4 linked regions of the Neurospora crassa OR74A genome follow. The protein of the gene in region 4 purifies or fractionates together with the protein of the main gene of each other region. This does not show direct contact. Links are inferred from orthologs where the notes say so. Each region holds a gene or a part of one and is shown on either strand. Other genes may lie near its edges. The genes, in order: NCU01843, NCU06854, hat-4 and act.

The links.
Region 1: the proteins of act (region 4) and NCU01843 purify together in Saccharomyces cerevisiae (affinity purification with western blotting; 3 studies listed by BioGRID, with this or other methods). This does not show direct contact. The link is inferred for Neurospora crassa OR74A from reciprocal best matches to the Saccharomyces cerevisiae genes ACT1 and CCT3.
Region 2: the proteins of act (region 4) and NCU06854 purify together in Saccharomyces cerevisiae (affinity purification with mass spectrometry; 4 studies listed by BioGRID). This does not show direct contact. The link is inferred for Neurospora crassa OR74A from reciprocal best matches to the Saccharomyces cerevisiae genes ACT1 and RVB2.
Region 3: the proteins of act (region 4) and hat-4 purify together in Saccharomyces cerevisiae (affinity purification with mass spectrometry; 10 studies listed by BioGRID, with this or other methods). This does not show direct contact. The link is inferred for Neurospora crassa OR74A from reciprocal best matches to the Saccharomyces cerevisiae genes ACT1 and ESA1.

The regions. Positions count from the first base shown.
Region 1 is NC_026502.1:2,189,318-2,196,791, forward strand, and holds NCU01843 (T-complex protein 1 subunit gamma), read right to left. Parts: upstream 4,735-7,474; 5' UTR 4,500-4,734; coding exon 4,475-4,499; intron 4,353-4,474; coding exon 4,286-4,352; intron 4,192-4,285; coding exon 3,983-4,191; intron 3,918-3,982; coding exon 3,327-3,917; intron 3,253-3,326; coding exon 2,615-3,252; intron 2,611-2,614; exon of another isoform or gene 2,532-2,610; coding exon 2,439-2,531; 3' UTR 2,135-2,438; coding exon of another isoform or gene 1,412-2,134; 3' UTR 975-1,411; downstream 1-974. Other genes in the region: NCU01844 (hypothetical protein), read left to right, coding at 1,412-2,134; NCU01842 (hypothetical protein), read right to left, coding at 5,167-6,991, 7,053-7,474. UniProt on the Saccharomyces cerevisiae protein: Molecular chaperone; assists the folding of proteins upon ATP hydrolysis. Known to play a role, in vitro, in the folding of actin and tubulin. In yeast may play a role in mitotic spindle formation.
Region 2 is NC_026502.1:1,743,978-1,751,679, reverse strand, and holds NCU06854 (RuvB-like helicase 2), read left to right. Parts: upstream 1-2,865; 5' UTR 2,866-3,094; coding exon 3,095-3,103; intron 3,104-3,179; coding exon 3,180-3,406; intron 3,407-3,481; coding exon 3,482-4,691; 3' UTR 4,692-5,079; downstream 5,080-7,702. Other genes in the region: NCU06853 (hypothetical protein), read right to left, coding at 1-1,092, 1,158-1,500; NCU06855 (hypothetical protein), read right to left, coding at 5,080-6,582; NCU06856 (ubiquitin fusion degradation protein), read left to right, coding at 7,346-7,348, 7,438-7,702. UniProt on the Saccharomyces cerevisiae protein: DNA helicase which participates in several chromatin remodeling complexes, including the SWR1 and the INO80 complexes.
Region 3 is NC_026504.1:5,715,087-5,722,687, forward strand, and holds hat-4 (histone acetyltransferase esa-1), read right to left. Parts: upstream 4,913-7,601; 5' UTR 4,770-4,912; coding exon 4,690-4,769; intron 4,614-4,689; coding exon 3,173-4,613; 3' UTR 2,560-3,172; downstream 1-2,559. Other genes in the region: NCU11146 (aminotransferase), read right to left, coding at 68-1,147, 1,439-2,215; NCU05217 (RNA exonuclease 4), read left to right, coding at 5,394-6,614; NCU05216 (methoxy mycolic acid synthase 1), read right to left, coding at 7,011-7,121, 7,173-7,428, 7,477-7,601. UniProt on the Saccharomyces cerevisiae protein: Catalytic component of the NuA4 histone acetyltransferase (HAT), a multiprotein complex involved in epigenetic transcriptional activation of selected genes principally by acetylation of nucleosomal histones H4, H3, H2B, H2A and H2A variant H2A.Z.
Region 4 is NC_026505.1:5,085,417-5,089,569, reverse strand, and holds act (actin, variant), read right to left. Parts: upstream 2,801-4,153; 5' UTR 2,465-2,800; coding exon 2,458-2,464; intron 2,318-2,457; coding exon 2,287-2,317; intron 2,141-2,286; coding exon 2,085-2,140; intron 1,967-2,084; coding exon 1,936-1,966; intron 1,858-1,935; coding exon 1,086-1,857; intron 1,022-1,085; coding exon 791-1,021; 3' UTR 790-790; exon of another isoform or gene 721-789; 3' UTR 323-720; downstream 1-322. Other genes in the region: NCU04174 (hypothetical protein), read left to right, coding at 1-48. UniProt on the Saccharomyces cerevisiae protein: Actins are highly conserved proteins that are involved in various types of cell motility and are ubiquitously expressed in all eukaryotic cells.

The sequences.
Region 1 (7,474 bases), on a different chromosome or scaffold from region 4:
TTCTTGTTTGAGTCTGCTTGGTTGGCGTGTTACACCTCCCGGTCCAGTATGTTTGTGCTATGCAGAGGGCAAGACTAACATGAATACGCACCTCTCCGCTTTCGGTAAGGTACACAGCCGCACTTTGAGTTTTTCTAGCTATTGAATGGCTGCGTATTGGGATGATGGACACTGCACACTGTGATCGCTGGTGGTGGAGGAGGGGCTAGAGAGGCTGGCTGGGCGGCCCCCAGGATGTGCTGAACTGTGATTGGTTCCGACAAGAGCAGGGAGTCATACATTATCAATCTCTTGCATGCCAGTGGCCTTTCCCGCCTTTTCCCAGACGTGCCAGAGTCCTTCGCGCCCCATTTCTGGCCCGACTGGATGCGCGGGGTTCTCCGTCTTTCTGACGCTTCAGCCAATCAGAACTGTTAACACTCAACAGAGGTTAGGTTCTTTCCCAATTGGATTCGCATGTCACCGCAACTTTGCAGCGTCTTTGACAGAGCCGGCGCCAACAGCAGCGAACCGGACTCGTTCCTGGCGGCTTCTTCCCGTGTTATGTACTGCAGTATGTAACCGTACATTACCGATGACCAGACATGGCCATCTTTGGCTAACAAACGGGCTGGATGGATGAATTCCAAGATGGCCTTGTAAAAAGGCACACCACAATCGACGTGGGAACATACGATATCCATGACATCGTGACAATCATGTTATAACCACGTGTAGAAGACATATGATTCAATTTCCCCAAGCTTGGCTACTAGCTCTCCGTCTGTTCCATGACCATTCCGTGACACCAAACCACATTAGACCAAGCCATATCATTTGACGCATGTGGTTTTGATCGCGTGACTTTGCAGACATCGGGATTCCTGGAGCTTGTAGCTGTCAAGGTGGGACTCTAATCGAGACAGCATCTTGAAATCATCAAAGGTCAAACGGCCACTGAACAGCCACGCGCACAGACCACCAATATCAGCCCTGTAGCCTTGTCCAACGGGTCCAGCTCCCCCATCAGCTGCAGCTGAGCTCAGCGTCGCATTTGGTCGATCTGGAATGAACCAAACCCCATCGCTGCGATCGACCAGTCCGTTGTCGCGACTTCATTCTCCGGCCGAAATTCAACTCCAGTTTCACATCTCCGCCTCGACGCCCTCCAGCATTTGCAACAGCAAACTTTAGTGATCCCACCGTCATCACCAAATCAGCGCTTAATCGCACCACAAAAGAGAGCAACAAACTCAACGGCGTGCGCGCGCCTCGCTCCTCAGAACGTCACGAACCAGAACAACCCGCCGCGTCTCAACCTAGGCAACACCCGACAGCCACCACCACCACCACCATCATCACAACCGCAGCCGCAGCCGCAGCCGCCACCGCAGACCACTGTCAACAGAAAACACAAAACAAAGGCGCAAAAATGTCAGCCGACGACCCCTCCTCGATCCCAACCTCCACCTCCCGCCTCTCCTCCCGCCCCACCAAGCGTCTCCGCGCCTCCTCTCCCACCTCCCTTCAAGCCTCCCACCTACAACAACTCTTCGCCAAACCCGACCGAGAAATCATCATCCCACCGCTCCCCTCCTCCACCACTTCTGGCTCCTCTCGACTACCTCCCCCTCCGGAAATCGTCACCAACGTTCAGGGTTCTTCCGCCGGTGCGGGATCGGGCGAGTTTCATGTATATAAAGCTGCCCGGAGGAGGGAGTACGAACGGCTGAGGATCATGGATGAGGAGGTTGCGAAGGAGAAGGAGAGAGAGGAGTTTGAAGCCAAGAAGAGGGAGAGGGAGAGGGCGGATGAGGAAAAGACAAGGAGGAATCGGGAGAAGAGGGACAAGAAGAAGAATAAAGGGAAGGGGGGCAAAGGTGGAGGTGGAGGTGGAGGTGGAAATGGTAGTGCAAGTCAAGGAGGGAGTGTGACGACAGCAAACGGGGCTGAGAAGAAAGAGACTGCAAAGACTGGGGACGAGGGAGGCGCAAAGGAGCGTGCAGCCGGAGCTGGAGCCACTAGCAACGACACCGCTGGGGAGAGTACCGCAAAGGAAGCGGACAAGTCTACTTCGGCCACGGCGGCGGCTGCTCCTGGGGCCGTAGTACCCGGAAATGCGGAGTCTGGGCTACTTATCGTTGAAGACGACTAAAGGGGGATGTTGACAGTATTGATTTTACCCAAGCGAGTAGAGCAACCATCAGCGACGGGGGAAAGCATAGACAGCATCACGCTCGGGGTTACGGAACAAGGATTAGACCTCTCGACCAGGCCTTTCAGAACCCCTTTTATCTACCATGCCAAGGTCCATCTAGCATATACATAAAGGGGTGCTCATGCAATGGGTGCTATGCGTGGACCACCAAAGAATCATTAACGGGATATCATACCACCTTTTGCCGGACTGACTATAACTCAGTAGACCCTGGGCTACCCACCCGCACCGTTCATAACATTTACTCATCACCGCCGCCAGAGCTGACACCGACACCTGGCTGTGCCTTTCTGGCACTGCAGATATCGTCAACTCTCAATAGGAGGCAGGCAGCCTGTTTGTATAGATGGTTAGTAGACAGTTAGAGAGCATCGAAACTGAACGTCAAGAAAAAAGACAAAAAAAGTCCAAACATACCTCGATAGCAGTCTTCATGCTCTGCACCTTGATGGCCTCGGGCTCCCAGACTCCGTAATCCTTCATATCCACAATGGCACCAGTATCGCCGTTGATACCCCACGAATTCTTGCCCTCGGCATGCTTCGCGCGGAGATCGGTGAGCACACGGACGGGGCTCTTGCCGGCGTTCTGGACAAGTGTACGGGGAATGACCTCGAGGGCCTCGGCGACGGCCTTGTACGGCCATTGTTGGACACCCTCGATGCTCTTCGCGAGCTGTGTTAACCTGACGGACACGGCCATCTCGGTCGCACCACCACCGGGCGATAGCCTGGGGTGGAACATGACGTTGCGCGCCACGCCCATGGCATCTTGCAGGTTGCGCTCGATCTCGTTGAGAACGTCCTTGGAGGGACCGCGGAGAAGGACGGTGCAGGCCTTGGGGTCCTTGCACTTTGTGAGGAAGGTGAAGTACTCGTCGCCAATCTTCTCGACCTCAAACAGGCCGCAGTTAGTGCCAACGTCGGATTCCTGGAGATCCTCTACTCGGTTGACGATAGTAGCGCCGGTCGCCCTGGCAATTCTGTTGTTGTCGGTCTTGCGCACACGTCTGAGCGCGGTAACGTTGGCCTTCATGAGATAGTGTTGTGCGAGATCTGTGAGTGAAATCATCGTTAGCTTTCCTGCCACCGACGTGATACGCGCTTCCCATTTATGGAGTCGAACTCACCAGAGACACCCTTCTCTGTGATAACAAGGTCGGGGTTAAAGGCAAGGATATGCTCGCACATCTGCTTGACCTGCTCCTCCTCAATCTCCAGAATGCGGTTCCAGTCCTCCTCCTTTGTGATCTCAATGTTGGTCTGCGACTCGCCCTTCTTGTACTCGAGCGGGCAGTCGAGCAGGATGATGCGCGGGTTCTCGATCCTGCGGCGCATCTTGGGGTGTGTGATGTCCTTGTTGAGCATAACGCCATCCAATACCCTGCTGTCCTCAATCTCGCCGCCCGGCACCTTCTCCACGCGCGCATACCTCTTGATGTCGACCTCCTTCTTGCCATTACCCTGCTCCCACGTCACGGTGCGCACGGCCTTGAGCGCTAGCCCGCACATGAGTTCCGACCATCGGGAAACGTACTTGGTGCCGATCGAGGACGAGATGAGCTTGTACATGGCCTGATCATCGTTGATGTCGATCGGGAGCGAGATGTCTTCGATGATCTGCAGGGCGTCCTTGAGGGCGCGCTTGAAGGCCGAGATGATGACGACGGGGTGGATGTTGCGCTCGAGCTGGGGGAGGGATTGCGCGAGGATCTCGCCGGCTGTTTGTGAATACCACCTGTCAGTGAACGGTATGCGGCGCAGCTGTAGCCAAAGATTTCCCTACCAAGAATGATGACTGTTGTGGTACCGTCACCAACTTCTTCGTCTTGTGTCCGGCTGAGCTCGATCATGCTCTTGGCTGCGGGGTGCGACACTTCGATCTCGCGGAGAATAGCATGGCCGTCGTTGGTGAGGACGATACCGCCCATGGGATCGAGAAGCATCTTGAGCATGGCCTTGGGGCCGAGGCAGGATCGGATGATATCAGCGACACTACGAGCCGAGGGGGGGCGGTCAGTCAAGGTCCATGGCGGGGTGAAAGGCGGTCTTATCCGCTATTAGGGGGGGAAGGGCCTGGGAACTGTACGTTTTGGCGGCGGCGATGTTGGACATCTGAGCCTTGCGGCCAGTCTGCCTCTCACCACTGTTGGTGTCTGTAAGGGTAGGAGGTAAGGTCAGTCAGTATGCTGCATGGTTACTGCCGGCTGACAAGTGAGGATATCCCCAATATCAGTGCGAAAAGGGGTAAGAGGTAGCTTCGAGCGCTGGAACATACTCATTACCAGGACCGGTGCCTGCATGGTGCCTGATTTATATGGGTTGCTTTAGTGGTGACTGAAAAGAAGAAAGCTGTACGGTAGGTATAGACTATGTCTTCAGATGGTGATGCTTCAGAATGCGCGGGGGGGAAGCAGGATGGTTGGCAAAAATCTGGAGAAGGAATGGCCGCCGTTGTTGTTTGCTGTTCTCCAGTTCAATGATCGGGCAGGCAGCTTCAGCGTCAACCTCAGGTAGGTCAAGGTGGGATGCTGGACCCCCTCCGAAAAGTTGATGGAATCGACCTGGACCAAGCTCCCTGCCGCTTTCGTCGCCAGTGGACGGCACCCCACCATGGACTGAAAGGTGGGGCAGAGGACTGCCGAACAGAACGGAAGAAACGTCCAGTGTCGTGGCATCCGCTGCCAGCTGTCAGCGCTAACGGTCGCGCAGCAACGCATTGTTGATGCTTGATCAGGGGGAATATTCTTATACAGGTCATAAAATACATTTGCGTCATGTCCTCTCCATGTTTGAGCTATCCAAACATGCTAGCTTGCTTGTTAAGTACAGTCATGGGGGGAGCTCTTGTCCAGTTCCACGTGTGATTCAGCTCCATATCCTGTAAACCACCAAACGCCTTACGCTGTGCCGTGTGAAACAACTATACAACAATTCCATCTCAGGCTCCCCAGCTCTGCCAAGGTCCATTCAAAGCATCATGCTTCTCCTCCTCGAGGCCCTCCCCTTGGACAAGGACCCGCCACTGTCATTGCCGACATCTTCCTCATCCTCTTCCTCCTGCGCTAACTCTTCAGCCCACAAGCTTTTCTTCGGCACCAGCATCGAAGCCCTTTTTCGGGAAGATCTTGGCTTTGCGGATGCTGTTGCTGTTGTCTCGGTCGAAGCAGCTGAGGACGCTCTTCTTGAACCTTTGGGTGCCTTCTTATTAACAGGAACATCGCCGGTAGTCGCTTCTAGCTGGGGTGCTGCGCTATCCGGAGACGCACAACTAGCAAAGTCGTAAAGATCCACCGAGGCTGAGTTCGTCGAGAGTTGTGCGTCCTCGTGCTCGTAATTTTCTGTTGGGATCGTGGGTACGGAACGGCTCATTGATTGCCTCCCCTTTCCACCCCTGGGCCGTGTTGTAATACTATTACTCAGCTCCTTCTGAATCTGAGCCTCGACCGCGGCGTTTTCATCGGTCTCGTCCGCGGCTGGGAGGTTTAGAGTTGATTGTTCTTGGACCGAAGGAATTGTCATTGCAGGGGCTGCAGTAGAGAAGGATGAGGCGCGTCTTCTCCTTCCCAGGTCTACTGAGCTTGGGAGGATGCCGTTTGGAGATAATATTCCTTCATCCGGCTGTGGTTCCTTCTCCTTCTCTTTTTCAAACAGCGCACTGCTGGTCAGACTACTTATATCCACCGCCGGCGATGGCTCGACCTTGACCTTGCTAACTGACGTCGGTGCTGACTCGTCGCCCTTGCGTTGCTGCTGTTGCTGTTGCGATGTCGGCCTGTGTAGGAACTTGCCCTCCCCAGAAACGGCATCAAAGAGCTCTTTGGTCGGTCGTCGCATCTTGTCGCGCAGATTGGGCTCTGTATAGCTGATAGCCGCTCTAGCACGCCTGCTAGGCCGCGACGTCTCTCCATTGGATGAAATGTGGGCTGGCGGCGGGGTATCGTGGGTCACAACAGTGCTTTCAGAGGCGCGCTCTGGTGTTCCAGGTGTGATCAGAATATCGGTTTCAGGAATCTCTGCAACTTCAGGAGTAGGTTCCAGAGCCGGCGGGAGGATCTCGACTTTCGTGAATGCCGACGTAGAATTTCCTTGCGTTTCTTCTACTGCTGACTTCTTGTCCGGAGCGGGCAGGTCGACTTTCTCTTTACCCTTTGACGCCTTGTGCACCTTCACCGGCTTAAAATCGTCGGCCACTTGGTGGGGCTTCGCCGGCTTCTTCGGAGAGACAATGTGCTCGTTCGTGCTCTTTGCTGACAGCGGGGCTCTCGGTTTCGTTGCGGTCTCTTTGATGCTTTTCCTCTTGTGCGGGTCGCGGGCAGAGAGTCCTTTCTTGATCCCAGTCTCATTGCCATTCTCCTTTCCTTGTTGAAGCTTGGTTGCCTTGTTGGGTTCGTTTTGGTTGTCGCCGTTCAACTTTCGCTTGAGGCCTGCTCGTATTGTCTCACTCGGTACAGCCGATGTGGACTGTTTCGGTGGTTCCATCGGAGGGGGACTGAACATTTTGGAGGGTTCTGCCACTCTCGATTCTTTGGGTGGGCTGAATAGGATCATGTTTGGTCTCCTGTCGTAGTCCAGTTTAGGCGGCGATAATGACGGCGGTACTTGAAGAGCCCTAGGGCTCTCTTCCACTTGCTCGGTAGTTTCCGTTTCTTCAGCCTCGGCGTTCTTGTTTGGCGATGGTGAACAAGGTATGACCATATCATCCTCGACAAACCTAGATACTGGCGGCGGTCCGATATCTGGCGAGTCATTCGAATCGTCTGCCTGCATGCACAGCGCCAGGATTTCTTCACTGCTGCTTGGCTGTCAGCCATATGCTTCAATGTATCATGCACCGGGAACTGCAAGCAACCTACTTCATTGTGGCTCGCGCATACGTCTTGTTCTCGTATATCGGCGGTAGCCTTCCTTCCTGCTCAGCCAGTAGTTCCTGGTCGGCCTCCTGGCGTGCTCTTCGTAAGGGAGGGCTCCGGTGAACGCTCGGTCGAGGCTGCGCGTATCGCCTCTCTTCTGAAAGGCGCCGCTTCGAGGGCGGCTCCCCTAAGCTTGCCAGCAGCGAACTGAGTTCCGCCAACTGCGTCTCCATCTTGGCCTTGACCTCGAGCGCATGATCGGCCACCCTTCGCGCAGCGTTGTCTTGGAGCTCCTTTTCGAGGCGCAAGACCTGACCACGGAGTTCGAGGTTTTCCGACAGCAAACGAGCGCATTCATTCTCCAACCCACGGATACGGAGTGACTGTGTGGAATTGACTCGAGCAATATCTCTGTTTTGTCTGAG
Region 2 (7,702 bases), on a different chromosome or scaffold from region 4:
TAACGCGGTCTTTGAGCGCCGGGAATTGGAATGACACAATCTCGGCTGCTTCATCCAGCGCTACAAAATCGACGTTCTCTAGCTTCTCCTCCTGTTTTGCCATCTTTTGCTCAAACTCGGCAACTTGAGCTCGGACCTGGTTAAGTTCTTGTTCTCTGGTTCCCAGCTGGTAGCGCAGGTCGGCGAGCTCCTGTCGTAGAGACGCTACCTCGCTAGCAGAGCTTTGCTTGGAATTATCTTGTGCCGTGGCGCGTTGTTGCTCAAGCTGCTGCTCGAGTTGTTTCTCGTACTTCTTTTGTTGCTTGGCTAGCTGTGTCTTGAGTTCTTGCTCTTGGGTTTCCTTAAAGTTTCTTAAGTCTGACTGCATCTTGTTGATCCGTTCTTCCAGTTTGGTGCTCTGTTTCGGAAGGTCTTTACTCTGCTTTGCAAATTTCTGTTCAAAATCTTGTCGCTGCTTAGCCAGCTCTGTTTGGAGTTGCTTTGAAAAGTCTTCTTGCTGCTTCGCGAGTTTGTTTTGATACTCTCGTTGCTGTTTGCCAAATTTGTCCTCGAGGTCCTTGAATCGGGATTCCATGTTTTGTTGGTCCAGAAGTCGTTTAGATTCGAGACCGTCGTAAACAACTTGCAGCGCGTCAATCCTGGTTTGTGTGAAGGACTTATGATCTGATAAAGCTTGCTCCAGTTCAGCGATCTTGTCGTCGTACTCCTTCGAGCTAGCAGAAGCTGGAGGCAATAACGCAGCTGGCAGCTGACCAGACTTCATCAGCTGCAGTAAGCAGGAGAGGAAACCCTCTCTTGCCCTTTTGATACCATCTTCAGCAACACGCACCATATTGGAATACTCCGCACGTCGCTTGGTGTCGCGATCCAGATACTTCTTTTGAAGTTCCGGTACTGAAGGGAAGTCTGCCAGCTTAGCCGTGCATTTTGTGTACTCGGCTTGCCGCTTTTCGAGTGCATCTTCAGCCTGAGTGAGGTTATATTTGTGCGTAGTATAACTGATAAGAGAGTCGCACAGTGCCCTCAGACATTTTCCCATCTCTGCGTCTGATGTACTCCTGGAATTGCTCGTAGGAGATGAGGCAGTGGCCGCTGCAATAGAGATTAGCACTCGTTTGATCTCTTGATTTGATCCGGGATAGCTATTGATAGCTTACGCGTGTTCAATCCATGGTCAGGTCGAGCACGGTCGCCGGCTGATGCGGTTTGTGTGTTGACTGTCAGGCCTCTTGCAGGTGCATCAGACAAGCCGCGGTCCCGGTCGCGATCCCGATCTCGATCCCTATCCCTATCCCGGTCCCGATCCCGGTGTTGACTATCACTCCAACTGTTTGGTGGCCTGTTGGGTAGAGAACTTGCATGACTGGAACTGGGCCTCCGTTCATCTCTGTAAACATTACGAGGCTGGCTATCGCGACGCGGATGGGGGTCTGCCGATGGTCGGCGGTCGCTTAGAGTGGAAGGCCGCCTCGGGTACGAGTCCGGCGGCCTGGAAGACATGGTGCGTGACACCAGGCGGACGGATGGGGGTGTGCAGTGAGACGAGACGCTGCAATCAAGCGTGCGCCTAACAGACAATATGTGGCGAGGTATAAGACGAGAGTGTAATTGTGACAATGGTGGGGCTGACCTGTGCCAGCGGTACAGACCGACGTCAGTCAATGTCGGAATTGAGCCTGAAATGTGTGTCGATGTTCAATATTGTAGGTTGAAGATTGTAATGCGATACCGATGCGGGTAGACGCGTAGATAGAGTCAAAGTTTTAAGAGGCCCCGCACCTCCTCCAGACGGGAATGAGATCAGACTAGGGCTTGCCGCACAAAGATACAACAAGCTGATGTATTTTTCTGTTCCTTGTCTAAATGGACAGTCGAACTAATAGTTCTGAATGCATTCCGGAACGCCAGGTTTACAATCGTCGAAGATGTCCTAGGGAGAAGAGAGAGGGGAAAAAAAAAAAGAGGAAAGTGTCTGCCATTTGGGTGGGGAAATTGGTTTAAATATTTCTGGGGAACTACTATGAATGAGCCCAAGGTAGCAGAGTTGCAGATTTGCAGCTCTTCCACTCCCAGGTCACAAAACTTCTCCTGTACACTCAAGGAAGGCGCTACGGACCCTTGTCATTCTGTCCCTTCAATGGCCAGTCATAGTATGTAGGTATGACTGGCCGAACGTCACATTTATCTTATTGATATCTTCAAGTTGTATTACTATTTCCTTCAGCTCTTTCATTCTCGCTCCAATCAAACATCCACTGCATTGGTACCCTATGTCCCTCTACACTTAGCCTGGGTTGAGGAGGATGACAGCATGCCTCACATATAGTCTCCTGACCCAAGAATCCCCTGAGGGCCGCTTCTAGCTTCAGGTCCCAGTGAGTAGCGTACCTACCTACACTACTTACTTGCGTCCATGTTTATTTTGCATGTTTGCATCTTCTTCCCTTTTGCATCCGAGTCACGAACCCCTGCCAACACTGTTGCCTTTTCAAAGAACTTCCATCTGTATATAAACAGGTCGTCCGACTTGCTTAGTTCTCTTTCCAAATTGACTGCTGGACAAAGAGGCTTTGTGTTGTGATGATCAGCTCAATCAATCGAATTCCGATGTGGGTCTAAAATCCGGGGCCTTGTGGGACCCCCAGGGCCGCGCCCGGGAAGGTTCAGTCCCACCCGCCGGCACAAGTCCGAGGACTGTCTTCAGTTCCTTCAAGTCTCCGCCCTTCTCTGTCACCGTTTGGATCCTCAGCCACAGTGGCGTGTAAGTCGACGTATTGTTACGTAAACTCGGTAACAAACCACTCGCTGGAGGCCCCGGCCTGTCTACCCATGCACGCAATTGGAGAAGTCGCTGCAAAGTTCCATCACAGCGCGCGGCGACGCGCACTGCAGCTTTGAACTTCCGTCGTCGTACTTCTCGCTCTTTTTCAAGCACATTCCATCATTCACTGCCAAACCATCCCTGCATCCACCTGCAAACTAATCCATCACCACCCACCCACCGTGATACCCAAATCCAAGCGACCTTTCTTGGAAAATTCTGTAACGTCAATCGGCATATTCAATATTAATATCTTGCAAATCAGTGGGCAATATGGCTGCTGTAAGCTCCCCACCTACCCCCCAACATCACAATACCTTGACGGAACACCAGCTGACCTCTTGTGCCCATGCCATAGCAGGTCGTTACCGTCGGAGAGAGTAAGGACCTCCGGGGTCTCAACCTCATCGCAGCGCACTCGCACATCCGCGGGTTGGGCGTCGATGCCGATACACTCGAGCCCAGGGTTGCCTCCCAAGGCCTTGTCGGCCAGGAGAAGGCGCGTAAGGCGGCTGCTGTCGTTCTTGAGATGATTAAGCAAGGGAAAATTGCCGGCCGTGCTGTGCTGATCGCCGGTCCGCCCAGGTTAGCTCGTCTTGCTGTGCCAGTCCTCATGCGCATACCGTTTCGTGTACTGACCTAGCTATGGAAAAACAACAGTACGGGAAAGACTGCTCTGGCCATGGGTATGGCCCAGTCCCTCGGCACCGACGTCCCTTTCACCACCCTTGCCGCTTCCGAAATCTACTCTCTAGAGATGTCCAAGACCGAGGCCCTCACCCAAGCATTCCGCAAGTCGATTGGTGTCAGGATCAAGGAAGAGAGTGAGATCATGGAGGGTGAGGTGGTGGAGATTCAGATCGACCGGAGCGTTACCGGCCACGCCAAGCAGGGCAAGCTTACGATCAAGACGACCGACATGGAAGCTATTTACGACATGGGCAGCAAGATGATCGATGCTATGACCAAGGAGCGCGTCATGGCCGGCGACATTATCTCGATAGACAAGTCATCTGGAAAGATTACCAAGCTGGGCCGATCGTACGCAAGGTCGCGCGACTACGATGCCATGGGCGTCGACACCAAGTTCCTGCAATGCCCCGATGGCGAGCTACAGAAGCGCAAGGAGGTCGTCCACACAGTAACGCTGCACGAGATCGACGTCATCAACTCGAGGACCCAAGGCTTCCTCGCCCTCTTCTCGGGCGACACGGGCGAGATCCGCAGCGAGATCCGCGACCAGATCAACACCAAGGTGGCCGAGTGGAAGGAAGAAGGCAAGGCCGAGATTGTGCCCGGTGTTCTGTTCATCGACGAGGTGCACATGCTCGACATCGAGTGCTTCTCGTACATCAACCGCGCACTCGAGTCCGACCTGGCCCCCATCGTCATCATGGCCAGCAACCGGGGCCACTCCAAGATCCGCGGCACCGACTACAAGAGCCCCCACGGCCTGCCGCTCGACTTCCTCGACCGCATTTCCATCATCAACACGCACTCGTACACGCCCGACGAGCTCAGACAGATTCTCACGATTCGCGCTCAGGAGGAGGAAGTCGACCTTACCCCCGACGCGCTCGCCCTGCTCACCAAGATCGGCGCCGAGGCCGGCCTCCGGTATGCGAGCAACCTCATCACGACGTCGCAGCTAATCTGCGCCAAGAGGAAGGCCAAGCAGGTCGGCGTTGAGGACGTCCAGCGCAGCTTCAAGCTGTTCTACGATCCTGCCAGGAGCGTCAAGTTCGTGCAGGAATCGGAGAAGAGGCTCATCGGCAGTGATGGCGTGGTCGATTTCCGTGTCAATGGCGGTGCTACGGGAGAGCCAGCGGCTACTGCGGCTGGTGGTGATAGCATGGATACCAGCAGCTAAACAGTCATGGGACAATGCGCTACAAGGATTAATGAATAATCTTGGGGTTATGATTTTGTTTCGTCTAGGCGTTTAATTGGGATGGCTCATCAAAAAGGCGTCTTTGTTATGATAACACTGTTTTCTTAAGCTTTATGTGTGCCTAGTCGTGGTTTTTTGTCATGTTACTGATTATGGTGATGGCATGGAGTCTGCAAATATCCGTTTGTATCATACAACGAATCGAATCAAAGTCGAAGCGTGGGGTAGCAGGAAAGGGCATAGTAGGGACGAATGACGACCAGCTGCTGAGGAGTTCCCAGCATGGTGATAAGGCTTTTGATTCTCTCGTCGCTTGGAACCGGGGGTATACTATCACACACAATCGTACAAAACCTAACCATGATGATCATACGAAGGCTGCAACCCTAGACCACTCCCCCTCCCCTCCGCCCACCGGCCTGAACTCAACCGCCTCCTTGAAGTATCCCGCATCCTGCCATGCCTTCATGGTGGGCCCGTCATACGGCCCTTGGCTTCCTCCTCCGTCTCTCCCATCTGTCCACCTAAACTCCCACATTTTGGGTTGTCCGTTTAGTGACGATGGCTGCTCTTCCTCCTTTTCAGGAACAGTAGGCTCCACCCAGGTCTCGCCCGTCTCTGCTCTATACTCTCTCACCAACCACTCCCTCTCCTTATCGTAAATATCCGGATAATCCCTTCCCAACAACTTATCCGCCGCCTCAGTAATGGCATCAATCGCCTCCCTGATCTTTTTCTGCTTCGGATCCTCCACTTCCTCCTTCTTGTCATCCACGTCCATCGAATCGATGCCCTGTTTCCTTTCCTGCCTCTTTTGCTTCCACTTGGGCACCTTCTTGGGCCCCTTGGTTTGATCTTTTCCAAGTCTTGCCAGCGCCTCCAGCGCCGTCTCCCCTTTTTCGAGCGTCAGGATCAAGTTTCTAAGCAAGTCCCCAGTGGCGATCTTGTCATCTTCCCTCTCCTGCGCGCGCCTTTCCGCCTCGCGCTTCTCGTGCGCCAACGCCGCTTTTTTGATTTCCTTTTTGGACAAGCCTTCCAGCCACTTATCGTGCACGGCATTTTGGTCGGCCGCTTTGCGGATGTAGTTGCCCGCCTCGTCAAAGGCACCCTCTTCATTCTCGGCTTGCATGTTGAAGGCGTCAATCTTGGGCGCATGTTTCTTCAGTCCGCCTAGGCCGACCTCTTCGTCTACTCCCTCTTCGGCGATGGCGGCTGCTATGGCTTCTTCGTCGTCGTCGTCTTCGTCTTCGTCGTCCGATTCGGCTGAGGCGGCGGGGTTGATGTTGATGGTTCCGCCAGCTTTGGAAGAGAGGTCTTGCCCTTCGATTTCCGAGTCGGCGAGGAAGTGGACGGATTTTTTGTCCTTCGCAGAGCCACCACCGGCTGTCGTTGGTTGAGCACCGTCGTCGTCTTCCAAATCGCCAAACATGTCTACCTCGTCATCTTCATCGGCATCTTTCCCTGCCCCGTTGGAAGGCTTGTTGTAATTATCCATCATCTCGGCCAGATCCACGTCCTCGGCGTCTTTGCCCTTCTTGCGGCTCTTCCCTCGGGCTTCCGCGCGGTCTTCCAGGTTGTCATTGTCGGAATCGGAATCGTACCCATCGATGTTGACCGCGCCGCGCTTGGTGGCTCGGGAAAGCCCACCGATCACGTCGGCGGCAAGAACCTCCTCGTCAGCTTCGTCGAGGTCGTCATCGTGCGCTGAGGGCGCGAGCGCGGAGGGGTTGCGCACGTCGAACTTGACTTTTTTGTGGGACGGCCCGCTGGAGGTGTCGTCGTCGTCGTTGGAGCGCGATTCGCCGTGGTGGGCGCGGGCGTAAGCTTCGCTGGCGCGTTTGGGGCGCGCGGCGGAGAAGCGGGAGGACATGGTGGTGGCTGTTGTCTTCAATCTCGTGTGTTGGTGTGTAGGCGTTGACGTCAGCGTGTAAAGGTTATGTCGTCTTGATAGAATGGCCTATTCTGCCCCTGTATCGCAGACTTTGTGTAGATATGGCCTGAAATGATGACTGTTTTGCCTGGGTCGACGGCGAATGACAACTCTACAAGTAGAGGATGGTGTTTAAGAGAGGATCTAGATGGCGAATTGGGAATATCAAGGAAGAACATCACTAGAGGTACCTTACCCGTTGTCAGCCCCAACGGATAACATGGAGCTCTCCACTGCCATCAAGGTCCAGAGCGTTCTGCAGTGGACAGGCAGCGCTCAAGGTACCTTTGACCTAAGCGTTTAAGAAGGGGGGGAGCTCGCGCCACGGCAGCACGGTTTCACAGATCTGACGCCACGGCGGCACCTTCTCACCCCGCCAATCCGGGCCGCCGAGGCGGCAGATACATAGAGGTAGGTACTGTACGGTACCCATGCCAGGGCTCCAATTATTACCTAACGTGCCTGTAACTTTCGGGCCCAGTTATGTCATCTGCGTTGTTGCCTTTGGAACCTTCCACGCGGTCAGGTTATTTCAACATCGTCGCAACCTCCCTTTCACTATCGCTTGTCACGCTCTGCTGTTCCGGATCCCACTACCTATTCTGCGAAGCTTACCTCGAGATCTCCCCTCTTAATACAAATTCCCTGTCGTTTCCCTTTCTGCAAAATACTTTACTCCATCTCTAGCAGCTCCCTCGCGATCATGGTAAGCTATCCTTGTCCTCACGCTCGATTATCAAGACAGCTTTTCGACCCCTCTATCTCTTGAAACATTCTAACATGTGCCCATGACAGTATGGAGACATCTACAGTCGCGCCACTGGTCGCTCTCGGGGCGCGCAACGCTTCGATGAGTACTACCGCTGCTACCCCCTTGTCATGGCGCCCGGTGCCGAACGACCTGAACTCAACTACGGCTCCAAGATTCTGCTCCCGCCCTCCGCTCTCGACAAGGTTTCGCGACTACACGTCCAATGGCCCATCATGCTAGAGCTTATCAACGGCTCGCAGGGCACCCACACACACGCCGGTGTTCTGGAGTTCGTGGCTGAGGAGGGCA
Region 3 (7,601 bases), on a different chromosome or scaffold from region 4:
TAGAAAAAGCATGTTGATCACATATTTATTTATTCATCGGCTACTCCAAAACAACGCTATCCCTCCCTCACTTAAACGCCTTCAACCCCTCCCCACCTACCTTCTTTACCTTCCCCCCCTCCTTCGCCTCCTCCTCCATCATCTTCCTCAACACCCTCCCCAACCTCTCCACCCCCTCCACCAAATCCTCTTCCTCCTCCCAGCTAAAACACACCCGCAAATGTCTCGGGAACCTAATCCCCACATTCTCCTTCGGTATTCCCTCCCCACTAACCTCCGCATTCTCCCCCGGACTCACCACCAGTCGTTCCTCTTCCAGCGCCCGCTCCGCCACCTCCTTCGCCGTGAATCCCGTTTCCGGCAACTCCAACCACAAAAAGTACCCCCCATACACCTCCCCCTCCTTTTCCTTGCGTTCGGCACCAGTCCGATTATCCTCAATCACTCTCACCCCCAACGGCACCACTAATTCGCGCCTGATTGCATCCATCGTCAACGCATGTCGCTTCTGCAAGCCCGGACGGACTACCTCGCTTAAATGCCTATCTAACGCGCCAGACTGGATGAGTTCGTGAATGAGCGCCGCGCAAAACTGTGAAGGGGCGCCGCCTGAGCGCGTGCTTCCCGTCTGGGAGAGCCCGTGAGCAAAGGCGGGCGTGGAGTGCGTCCAGCCTGTGCGGAGGCCGGGCGATAGTAGTTTAGAAAAAGAGCCGTTGGAGACGGCGTGGCCGAAGTGGAGGGATGCGATGGTGCGGGTGGGGAAGAGGGGTTGCATGTCTTCTACTTGGTGATCTTCGTTGGGGATACTGGAAGGAGAAGAACGGGTGTAGTGTGCGGAGAGAGAGAGGTCGTGGAGGGAGGGGCCGAGGGAAATGTCAATGTCGGAGAGGCGGGGGAGGGGAGTGGGTAGGGAGATGGTGGTTTTGGAAGATGAGGGAGAGGAAGGAGAGGAAGAAGGGAGGACGGGCCATTGGAGAAAGTCGTAGACGTCGTCGGAGATGATCAGGGCGTCGTATTTGCGGGCTAGTTGGACGAGTGCGTGCCGGCGGGAGAGAGAGGTGGTGATGCCCGAGGGGTTGGCGGAGGTGGCGACGAGGTAGATGATGTGTTTGTAGCATTTGCGGTGGGGGCCGGGGGTTTTGTAGACCTGGGGGCTGTTAGTTGTGATTCTGAATGGGGGTATAAGTGGTGATGAGAGAGGTGGGAGTGGAAGTGGGAGTGAAAGTCGGACTGGGTGTGAGTGTCGTGAGCATGGACGAACAGGAGGGTAGCGATATAAAATCCAAGAAGAGGGGTTCTATCCCCTTTCTCGATTTCCTTCCCGCTACTCCATATATTCCTTTCTTTGCATCCTCATTCCTCACTTCCCCCCCCCCCCCCCCCCCCCCCCCCCCCTTTTTCTTCACCGAACACCCAAACAACAGAACACAAAACTCACCGGTTTCCCAGGCCATTCTTTCTCCCCCTCCACATCCAAAATCCCCCTCTCCAGCTCCTCCAAATCCACTCCCTCCTCATCCTCCCTCACCCCCTTCAGCTTCCCATTCCCAACCGCAAACCCCGCATCCTCAAAAATCGGCACCGCCAAAAAATAGCACGGACTAACCGCCCACACAGCCCTCGTATACGCCGGATCCGTAAATCCCTGCAGGATATTCGCCAAGTTCTGACTCGCTCCGCCCGTGATACAAATCTGCTCTGCCGTCGTCAGGGTAGGAAACCCATGGGACGGATAAGTCTCGTGGGCGGTATAGTTTTGGGTCAACCAGGCTGCGAGGGAGTGCCGAAGGGGTTCGTAGCCTGGGTCGGCGCCGTATTGGAGGGCGGGGATGTTGAAAGAAAATTTGGATGAGGGTTCGTCTTCGGGAGGAGAGGTGAGGAGCGAGGTGCTGGCGGAGAGAAGGTGGGAGGGGGGAAGGAGGTGGGGGGAGGGCCAGCCGCGGAGGAGGTTGATTTGTTTCTTTTCGCCGGGTTGGGAGAGAGGGGTTGGGACGTCGGGGTCGGAGAGGGCGGGGGGTGTTGAGGGGGACATGTTGGCGGTGGTTGTTGTTAATGTTGTTGATGTGTTGATGTTAACTTGGAGTGATGAAGACGTTGGAATGTTGAGTTGTTGGTGAGATGAGTGGAACCTAGATAAGGTTGGTGGTGGTTTTGGGACCATAGCTTTGTTATTAACCTGGCAGCGAGTGAATCTCAAATGCCGTGGTGAAACCATTCAGTTTATCTCAGCCTAACCCATTTGTCCGTCGTGATCGCCGTCGTGAATGATGTCGTATTGCGGGGAATCTAGGTTGCGGGGCCGGCCGGCCGGAGGTGTGGGGCTGGACGGGGCTGACGGAACACAAGCAATGGATGAGGTGACGTCTGGAGGTCTCACTACCGAATGCGGCCCGGGAGATCTCCGACGACTAGCCGGTATAACCAGTCACAAGCTTCAAATCTGCGAAAGCGGTCTGTAAGATCGGGGAATACACCCACGTTTGATGACGTCCAAAGCAGCCATGCTCTCAATAGTAAAGTCGGGAATCTTGAGCTAAACTTTCGTCAAGATTTTGTGCTGTAGCAAACAGGCTTTTTCGCTGATCATGAGTAGAGATTATGACTAGGCTCTGCTTCTCTATCCTGGTAATTATATTCCTAATCACTCGTAAAGAAATGACAAACCATTCTGGTGCTTTTGGCCGTAATAGTGATACATATGGTGTTCCTTTTTCCCCCCCTCCTGTAAGCCATTTCCCCAAGTGCCCGTCCAAAACAAAAACCAACGCCATATCATACTAACCAACCCGCTTGCTACCCATGCAATCTTGTTCTCATGACTATTACAACGAGAATAACACAGACATCCCAGCAGTAAGAGCGCTCGCTCCCCAAATATTGAATGATCCACCAAGACGACATACCACCTATTGTATCCATGACCCAATAAATCAACGAAACCATTGTAAAAATCCAACAAAGGTCAAGTGCACTTTGCGGCCATGTTAATGACCATTCTGTTTGCATACACTACTGCAAGGTTTCCAGTATCTGATCGATTCAGGAATTGATCTTCTTTTGTTGGCGTAATGCTGATGGTTTCGTTTTCTTTTAATTGGGTCATGAATCCGTGTGGTGGTGTCACGAGTGTGTCGTCTTGGTGTATCATTCAATATTTGCTGAGCGAGAGCAACTACCACCCCCATGTCCGATTAAGCGCCGTGAACACCGGTGGCTTCCACTGGATCCTCTCGGGATCAATCAGCCTCTTTTGCTTCGCTTTGCTCTTCTCCCTCTGCTTGATCAGCTTCTCCGGTACCACAATCTTGTGCTCGCCCTTGTGGTACACCTGCATCTTGAGCGCCTGCAACGTATGTTCCACATCCTGTGTCGTCATGGCCAGGGCAACAGCAATGTTCTCAATCGTGCAAGCTTCCTTTCGCTCGTTGTACCCGAGCAAGATATCGATGATGTTCTCGGACCAATACTGTCTATATGACAGCAGACCCAGATCGGACAGGGGCTTCTCGGGCGAGCCGAGCTTGCCTTCGATTTTGGACAGTTCGTACGAGAATTGGATGAGCAGGCGACCGTATCCCTTGCGTTGGTACTGCGGAAGGGTCAAGATACAGGCGACGTTGTAGCCGTCCGTAGACTCTTTTTCTTTGGAGAAGTACCCGATGATGTGGCACCCCCGGTCGTCGCGGGTGGTCATGACGTAGAACAAAAACGGGTCGACATCGTAGTAAAGGGTTTTGTGGTCGAGAAACATCTTGGACAGCAAGCAGAGGTTGCGACACCAGGTGCGCTGACGTCGCCCGTCGATTTCGAAAAAGGAGACGTAGTCGTCCCGGTAGATTTCGTTTCCGGGCGGGTGGTGTAGAGTGCACTTTTGTCGGTGACGCACAAAGGATTTCAACTCGCCGTAGTACGAGAGACAGAACTCGCAGATGTAGATGCAGTCTTCTTGGTCAAAGATCTGCGGGTAGGGCGAGAAATACCACGGGAAGAGGACGTAGCGGCCGAATTCCACCTTGGAGATATTCCGAATGCGCGAGATCTCGGTAGGGTTCTGTGTCATGGAGCCGGATGTTCGCAACTTTTCAATCTCTTGTTCCCTGGAAAAAGACGGCTGGCGTTGTTTCTTAGCGGCTGGTATTTCGTCCTCATCCATATCGATCTCGTCGGCTTTCCTCTTGACTCCCTTGTCCCCACCAACCTCCAAACTGGCGTTGACGTCGGTTCCATCTTCCGTCTTCCCCCGTTGCCTGTTATTCTTCCCTGGCTGGCTTTCGACAAACTCGGTCCATGGGTGTGGTGTCTGCCCGTCCGATGCGACTGACTGCTCCCTCTTGCTGGCCTTTTTCTGGTTGTTCTTCTTGGACGGTTGCTTCTTGGATACCGTCGAGTTGTTTTTCTTGGTCTTGGCGTCCTTCTGCTTGTCCTTGTCCGGGTTGGGCCACTCGACGTCCTGCTCGAAATCGATTCTGGCGGCCGGCACCCATTCGTCGAGACGCTTGTTGAAGTTGTCAAAGTTGCAGTAGAATTGCCGGCCGGACTTGGTGTCTTTGATACTGAGGATCTCTGCTCGTCGTAATTGGCCTTCTTTCATCACCATGGCAATACATCCCATTCTGTTTGGTGGTGTTAGTATCTGGTTTTTCAACGACGATGGGGGGTGCCGTGGACAATGATGGGACGGAAACATACTTGATGGTGTCGGGCGTCGCCTTGCCCTTCTGTCGCTTCTCGTCGGAGCCGACAGTGGCATCGCCACCTGGGGGACTCATGATGGCGGCTATGTGTGATCCAACTGTATATGATTCGGTCGATAACTTGCGATGGTTTGCGACAAGATTTGATGGTTGTGGACGATGGGCGATTGAATGCGATCAATCTGACGGGCGACGCGCGACGTCAGTCTTGAAGTGTTTTGTAGTGTTCAGCGACTCTTTCAGTGGACGCTTCCCGAACGTTTTGGAGGGGTCCTTCAGTGGCGAGCCCACGTGTTTGGGCCGTCATTTCAGCGGGGATGCAATGGGACACAGCGGCAGATCCCTGCATGGCTTGCCTACCCTGTCAATCGTCCAGGAACCGATTTCCCCAGTTGAATTTTTAAGTGAACACCAAAGTGGGGCCCATATTCAACATCCACTTTCACGTTCATACAAAAAAGTTATCACCTTCTGGAAATCTTCCGTTTGTCTCAACCTTTTGTTTACTTTCTCTCATTCCAAATAAGAATTCAGCACCAATTGGACTCCACATAACCTCGGCCGCCAATTTGTGATTGGACATACCACAAGTGATCCCTCATCGGCAGTGACACCCTCACTTGTCTGTCTTGACTCAACACTCCATCACCACCACCACCATCAAAATCACCAAGGCAGGAGACCCTCCTGTCACCAACCATGGCCCCGGAACTCTCCTCCAACTGGAAGAAGTTGCAAGAAAAGCTCAAGGCCCCTCAACCAACCAAATCAGCTCCCATCAGCCAAGAAGCCGCTTTCAAGCAAGCCATTTCCAAAAAGTCCATTTCCTCCGAAACCCTCAAGCGCAAGGCCGAGGAGAGTCAACAACAGCAACAAGCCTCCAACCCTTCCAAGAAGCCAAAAAGACAAAAGTCCCAAACCCAGTCTCAACCCAGCAGCCAAAAACCAACAGAAGAAAAAATGGGCGGCAACGTCCAATCCAAGCCCACCACCTCCTCCTCCCCAAACAGCACCCTCCCCTCCCTCCACCTCTGGGCCGACGAACAAGGCATCTCCTCTGAATCCCTCGCCGAAGCGTACAACCTTGGCCTCCGCGGCACCTCTTCTTCCTCTTCTTCTTCACACATCCCTCTCCTCTCCACCCTCCCCCCCGCCATCCCCAACGCAGGCCTCACCCTCCCCGGCCATTCTTCTTCTTCCCCTAAAAGCAACAAAAATGGCCTCCCCTTACCAACCGACCTTCCCTCATCCCTCACCCTCTCCAACGGTCTCACACTCGACACTTCCACCACCACCGACCTCGCACTAATCCTGCAAGCAACCAAGTCCAACACGCTCGGCAAATACCTCTCCATCGACTGCGAAATGGTCGGCACCGGTCCCTCGGGCGCCACCAGTGTCCTCGCTCGATGCTCCATCGTCGACTTCCACGGACACCAAATTTACGACTCGTACGTTCGCCCCACTGCTTTCGTGACCGACTGGCGCACGCATGTATCAGGCATTTCCAAGCGCCACATGGCGTCCGCACGATCGTTCGAGTCCGTACAAGCAACTGTGGCTGCCCTTTTGAAAGGTCGGATATTGGTGGGTCATGATGTCAAGCATGATTTGGAGGTGTTGGGGTTTGAGCATCCGCATCGGGATATTAGGGATACGGCCAAGTACAGTGGGTTTCGAAAGTATGGACATGGGCCGAAGCCGAGTTTAAGGGTGTTGGCCAAGGAGGTTTTGGGCATCGAGATTCATCAGGGACAGCATAGTAGTGTGGAGGATGCGAGGGTAGCCATGCTGTTGTTTAGGAAGGAGAAGCATGGGTTTGATATGGAGAATAGTAATCGGTATGAGGAGGGGCAGGCGAAGAAAGGAGGTAATGGTGGTGGTGGTGGAGGAGGAAAGAAGAAGAAGGGCAAGAAGTGAAGAGATGGAAGGAGGGAGGAGTCTATTAGGTCTAAGGTGCCTATCCGCCTTTACCTGGATATCATGTTTGCATCCCCAGATTTTCTTGTGTAGGTATACCCATTCCTGCTTTCTTCAGCTCTTCTCATCAGCAACTGATCAAACAGCAGAAAGCCAAATCTATCTTGTCCTTGACATCGATCGTCGTTTTCTTGCTTCGCATACAATCCGAGTGAAACTAGCAAACGGACGCCTAAAACTCACAAGATGCCATGCCGCGGTCTATATGTTGCTGCCCGAAACCATCTCTAACAATCACCAACATCCGCCCTTTCCTTACTGGCCATGATCACCATAATGCTTTGCTGCACACGAAACTGGAGGCAAAATCATCTTCACTGCGTTCCTCAGTAATGATCACAAGGGAATACCCTCCATCAGCTCAAGCGCACCCTCCCTGCCAACTGTGATAATCACATCGCCCAACGTCTTGGTCAGGAAACCGGCCTCACTATACGAAAAGTAGTACTGGACCATGTGTCAGCTTCGTCAACTCCAATCACCGGAAGAATAACTCACCTCCCACTTCCGCTTAAACACTTCAACGTCTGTCTCCGTCAAGCTAGGATGCTCCACCATTAAGGCCGGCACGATCACGCTGTCAAACCTGTTCATAAAGGCCTCCCTCCACAGCCTCAGCGCCTTGACATAATGTGGACCGATGTTCTTGATCTTTTCGACAATGAGCGTTCCGTTGGACTCGGTCGTGATGTGGTTGATCAACTGCGTGACAGATGGGAGGTATCCTCCAGGGAATATGTAGTGGTTAATGAAGCTACAGACGTTAGCTAATGATACACCCCACAAGGGACCGACGACTTACTCTTCACGCTTCGAATAGCCTTTGTGTCGTCCCTCCGGCATGGTGATGCACTGGAACACGGCAATCCCTCCGTCTTTCTTCAGCAGCCTGTCAACGCGCGAGAAAAACGTGGCCAGAAACTTTTC
Region 4 (4,153 bases):
AAGGCTGAGAAGCGCGGAGGAAACAATGCGGATGGCGGTAGACACTAGACAGTAAGAATACCTACCCATTGTGTCAGCGAAAAGCCATCTGTGGTTTCTGCCACTGGTTTGCAATCCTGGCCATGTTTGATCATAAGGAAACGGCTGCTTGTTACTCGGTTCCTGAAGCGGTGAGGATCGCTTAGTTGGATTCGGTAGGTATGGCCGCCTCCCCTTCAAGTCAATAAGACATTACGGTGGATCCGATACCTTGACGGCTAGCAATTCCCCTTTTCTCCTTGGCTTGCACGTATCTCACGACCAACGAAAGGGCAGCTGAAGGTGCTCAGAAATACAGAACGCTGTTTGAATTTTGATGATCTCTTCATCCACGATAACCTCGAATTTCCCAGTGGTGACTAAATCTTGCTGCTAAAAGTGTAGTAAATAGAGAAAGGGTGTTGGCAAGATCAAGAAGCCCGCATACTTGACCGCGCCTATCCCACGCATTCGCAGCCGTCGCCGCCCACCCAGAAAACAGAAAAAAAAGGCCATTATTTATGTCTTCTAGTAGAGAAAAGAGACGCCAGCCCCCTTCTGACCACGCTCGCTACTTTTTGTATAAGAGAGACCTGTGCAGAATACACGCGCAATGCAGACATGCTACTTGACGCAGATAGGGGTGTTATGTCCCCAGTTGGCGCTGGCTCGTGACAGTCGTGGATTTGTCCATTTATTGAACTACATACATGGTGTAAGCCGACGACGCTCCGCTTCCAACTGCAACAACCACCTCTCAAGGGCACCCACTTTAGAAGCACTTGCGGTGCACGATCGAGGGACCGCTCTCGTCGTACTCCTGCTTGGAGATCCACATCTGCTGGAAGGTCGAGAGCGAGGCGAGAATGGAACCACCGATCCAGACGGAGTACTTGCGCTCGGGAGGAGCAATGATCTTGACCTTCATGGAAGAAGGAGCAAGAGCAGTGATCTCCTTCTGCATACGGTCGGAGAGACCAGGGTACATGGTGGTACCACCAGACTAGTGACGATTCTGTTAGCGGACCTAGCCTATACTGCCATCTCCACAGCGAACGGGGACTTACCATGACAATGTTGCCATAGAGATCCTTCCTGACGTCGACATCGCACTTCATGATGGAGTTGAAAGTGGTGACGTGGATGCCGCCAGATTCGAGACCAAGGACGGAAGGCTGGAAGAGAGCCTCAGGGGCACGGAAACGCTCGTTGCCGATGGTGATGACCTGACCGTCGGGAAGCTCGTAGGACTTCTCGAGAGAAGAGCTCTGGGCAGCGGTCTGAATCTCCTGCTCGAAGTCGAGAGCGACGTAGCAGAGCTTCTCCTTGATGTCACGAACGATTTCGCGCTCGGCGGTGGTGGAGAAGGTGTAACCACGCTCAGCGAGAATCTTCATGAGGTAGTCGGTAAGATCACGGCCAGCCATGTCAACACGGGCAATGGCGTGGGGAAGGGCGAAACCCTCGTAGATGGGGACGACGTGAGTGACACCGTCACCGGAGTCGAGGACGATACCGGTGGTACGACCGGAGGCGTAGAGAGAAAGGACGGCCTGGATGGAGACGTAGAAGGCGGGGGCGTTGAAAGTCTCGAAAACGATCTGTGTCATCTTCTCACGGTTGGACTTGGGGTTGATGGGAGCCTCGGTAAGAAGGACGGGGTGCTCCTCGGGGGCGACACGGAGCTCGTTGTAGAAGGTGTGATGCCAAATCTTCTCCATGTCGTCCCAGTTGGTAACGACACCGTGCTCGATGGGGTACCTGAGAGTAAGGATACCACGCTTGGACTGAGCCTCATCACCGACATACGAGTCCTTCTGGCCCATACCGATCATGATACTGGCATGTTGTCAGTTTTTTCTGAAAGTCTTGGAGTGTTGCGCGCACGGGACGCGGGGGGGAAAGTGGCATGCATACCCATGATGACGGGGACGACCGACGATGGAAGCTATCGCGACATGTTAGCATGGCTGGGACGTTGGGTCTTGGCGGGGAGGCAAGTAGCTCTGCTGACACGTTGCCCGTCTCAAGCAAGAGCACCTCGCGGGAATAGTGGGAACACTTACGGAAAACAGCTCTGGGGGCGTCATCACCGGCGAAACCGGCCTTGCACATACCCGAACTGGGCGGTTGTTAGCTACTGTCCATCGTCATTGTTCACCATGTAGAACGGGCTATGGGGGGGCCGCGAGGCGTCGATTGCGGGAGGAATATGACGCTTCTCCTAGGAGTCGGTGAGGCGCAGGCGAAAAGGAGGGGAAAGCTTACCCATTGTCGATGACGAGGGCGGCAACTTCTTCTGTTGGCGGGAACGCATGAATCAGCTTGTGCCCATGATAACCAGTAGAGGGAGATGGCGATGGTAGAAGTCCGATCCGCCGGCGACCAGCTCGCCAGCGCGGGCAGACTGGGCAGGAATGTGGACATGTTGTTACGTACCCTCCATTGTGATAGATTAGGTGGTGACGAAAAGTGTCGGATTAAGCAAAAGGTACAGAAGAAGAGTTATTAAATACGCTCGACGATTCCCGGATCGATGGAGCGATGATGCTTTGGCTGAGAGAGGTGTTGCCGAAGGACGTAGAGACGTTGTTTGGGCAAAAATTTGGATGTTGTTCGGTAGGCGGAAGAGTTGGAAAAGGGGAGGTGAATTTAAGGTCAGCTTTGGGAGTACGAGGCGGCGGGTGGATTGAGGGGGGTAAAGGTAGGGGAGGTAAGGGGATGGGATTGCTGTGGTGCCAGGTGCGAGGGAACGGATGGCGGACTGGGGGGGGGAGGGGAGGGGACGGTTGATTCCATTGGGGACGGGACTGGGCCGGGACTGTCTGCACTGGGCATTGCTGGCTGCTAGGTCCAGTTGGTTGGACTGGGCCTGGTCACCTCACGGCGTGGTTGTGGGACTTGGCGGCGGAGGAGGAGGAGGAGGAGGAAGGAAAGGCGGGCAAGGACGACACCGATGTCACTGAGTGGTACTGACAGTGAGTGCCCGGCCGACTTCCAGGTCCCAACAAGCATTCATTTCATCCTCGCCGGGCTGCTGCGCTGCCTGCACTCCATGTTGCCCGGTTCACGACGGGATGGATCACCACAGTAGACTACAAGTACAAACCTAGAGGTAACTGCGCTGCCTTCTTCCCAGGCCGTCCCCTCTCCCTCGCTGTTCGCTTTCCACACCCCTACTCTAAATCATCAAATCACTGGCCGCACCGCCCCCTTGCCCTCTGGCATCTTCGTGGACAAGTTGTCAAGTCGCAGTATCATGCCTGATTCGAGGTGGCTCAAGGTGGATTCCTGAGTGGCCTGCGATCCGTCTGGAAAGTGGGTAGGAGACACCGCCTAATTTTGGGAGGGCAAAGGGGATCTTCCTGCCGCCAACACACTTTGGGAGGCTTCCGCACCTCGGAGGCGACGTCTAGGTTGACATCAATGCCCGTCTGGCAACTGGCAGCCCGTTCAAGATCCCCTTTGATTTCAGTCTACCTAACTACATTGGATACCTACACGACCTGACTTGTATACTATGTAAAAGGATATCATATCGCAGCACGGCCGGGGTCGTCACCGCTGCGTGCCGTTCGACGGGTGCAGCTAGACAGACGGTTCAGTTGTACGTAGCGTAGGTAGTACCTAGTGAGCACGGTGGGAGCGTGGTGCGTGGCTGGGTCCGCCCCCGACGTTGTGTCAGCGTTCAGTCTTCTTCAACCTAATGTCCCTCCCCTGCGTCGTTGCCGTCGTACCTGGTCGCTGTCCCTTGTCGTACCCCGTTCATTACTTGTTTATTACTCCTCCTGGAGAACCGCGATTGCAATTCCAGAAGATCCAATGTCTTCTTTACCGTCTCTTCTGTTGGAGCCTGGCTGATCACGATCTCTTGGAGCTTGTCCGGATCGCAATTCCCATGGCCCCGGGGCCCGAGTGTCTTGAAGGCTCCATGGCCGCCCCGGTCCGGGATCCGACGGAGATAGATATGTAGCCTACGGTATGCACCACTTGGGTCCATACGGTACGGGGACCTCCAGCAGCGGTGTCATTTCCAAGGAAACGCCATCTCATTGGGGATGAGAACGAGGTATTGCCACAGTCCAACACCACCACCACAACCACCACCACCCACTTATTGGCGTCTGCTTCATCC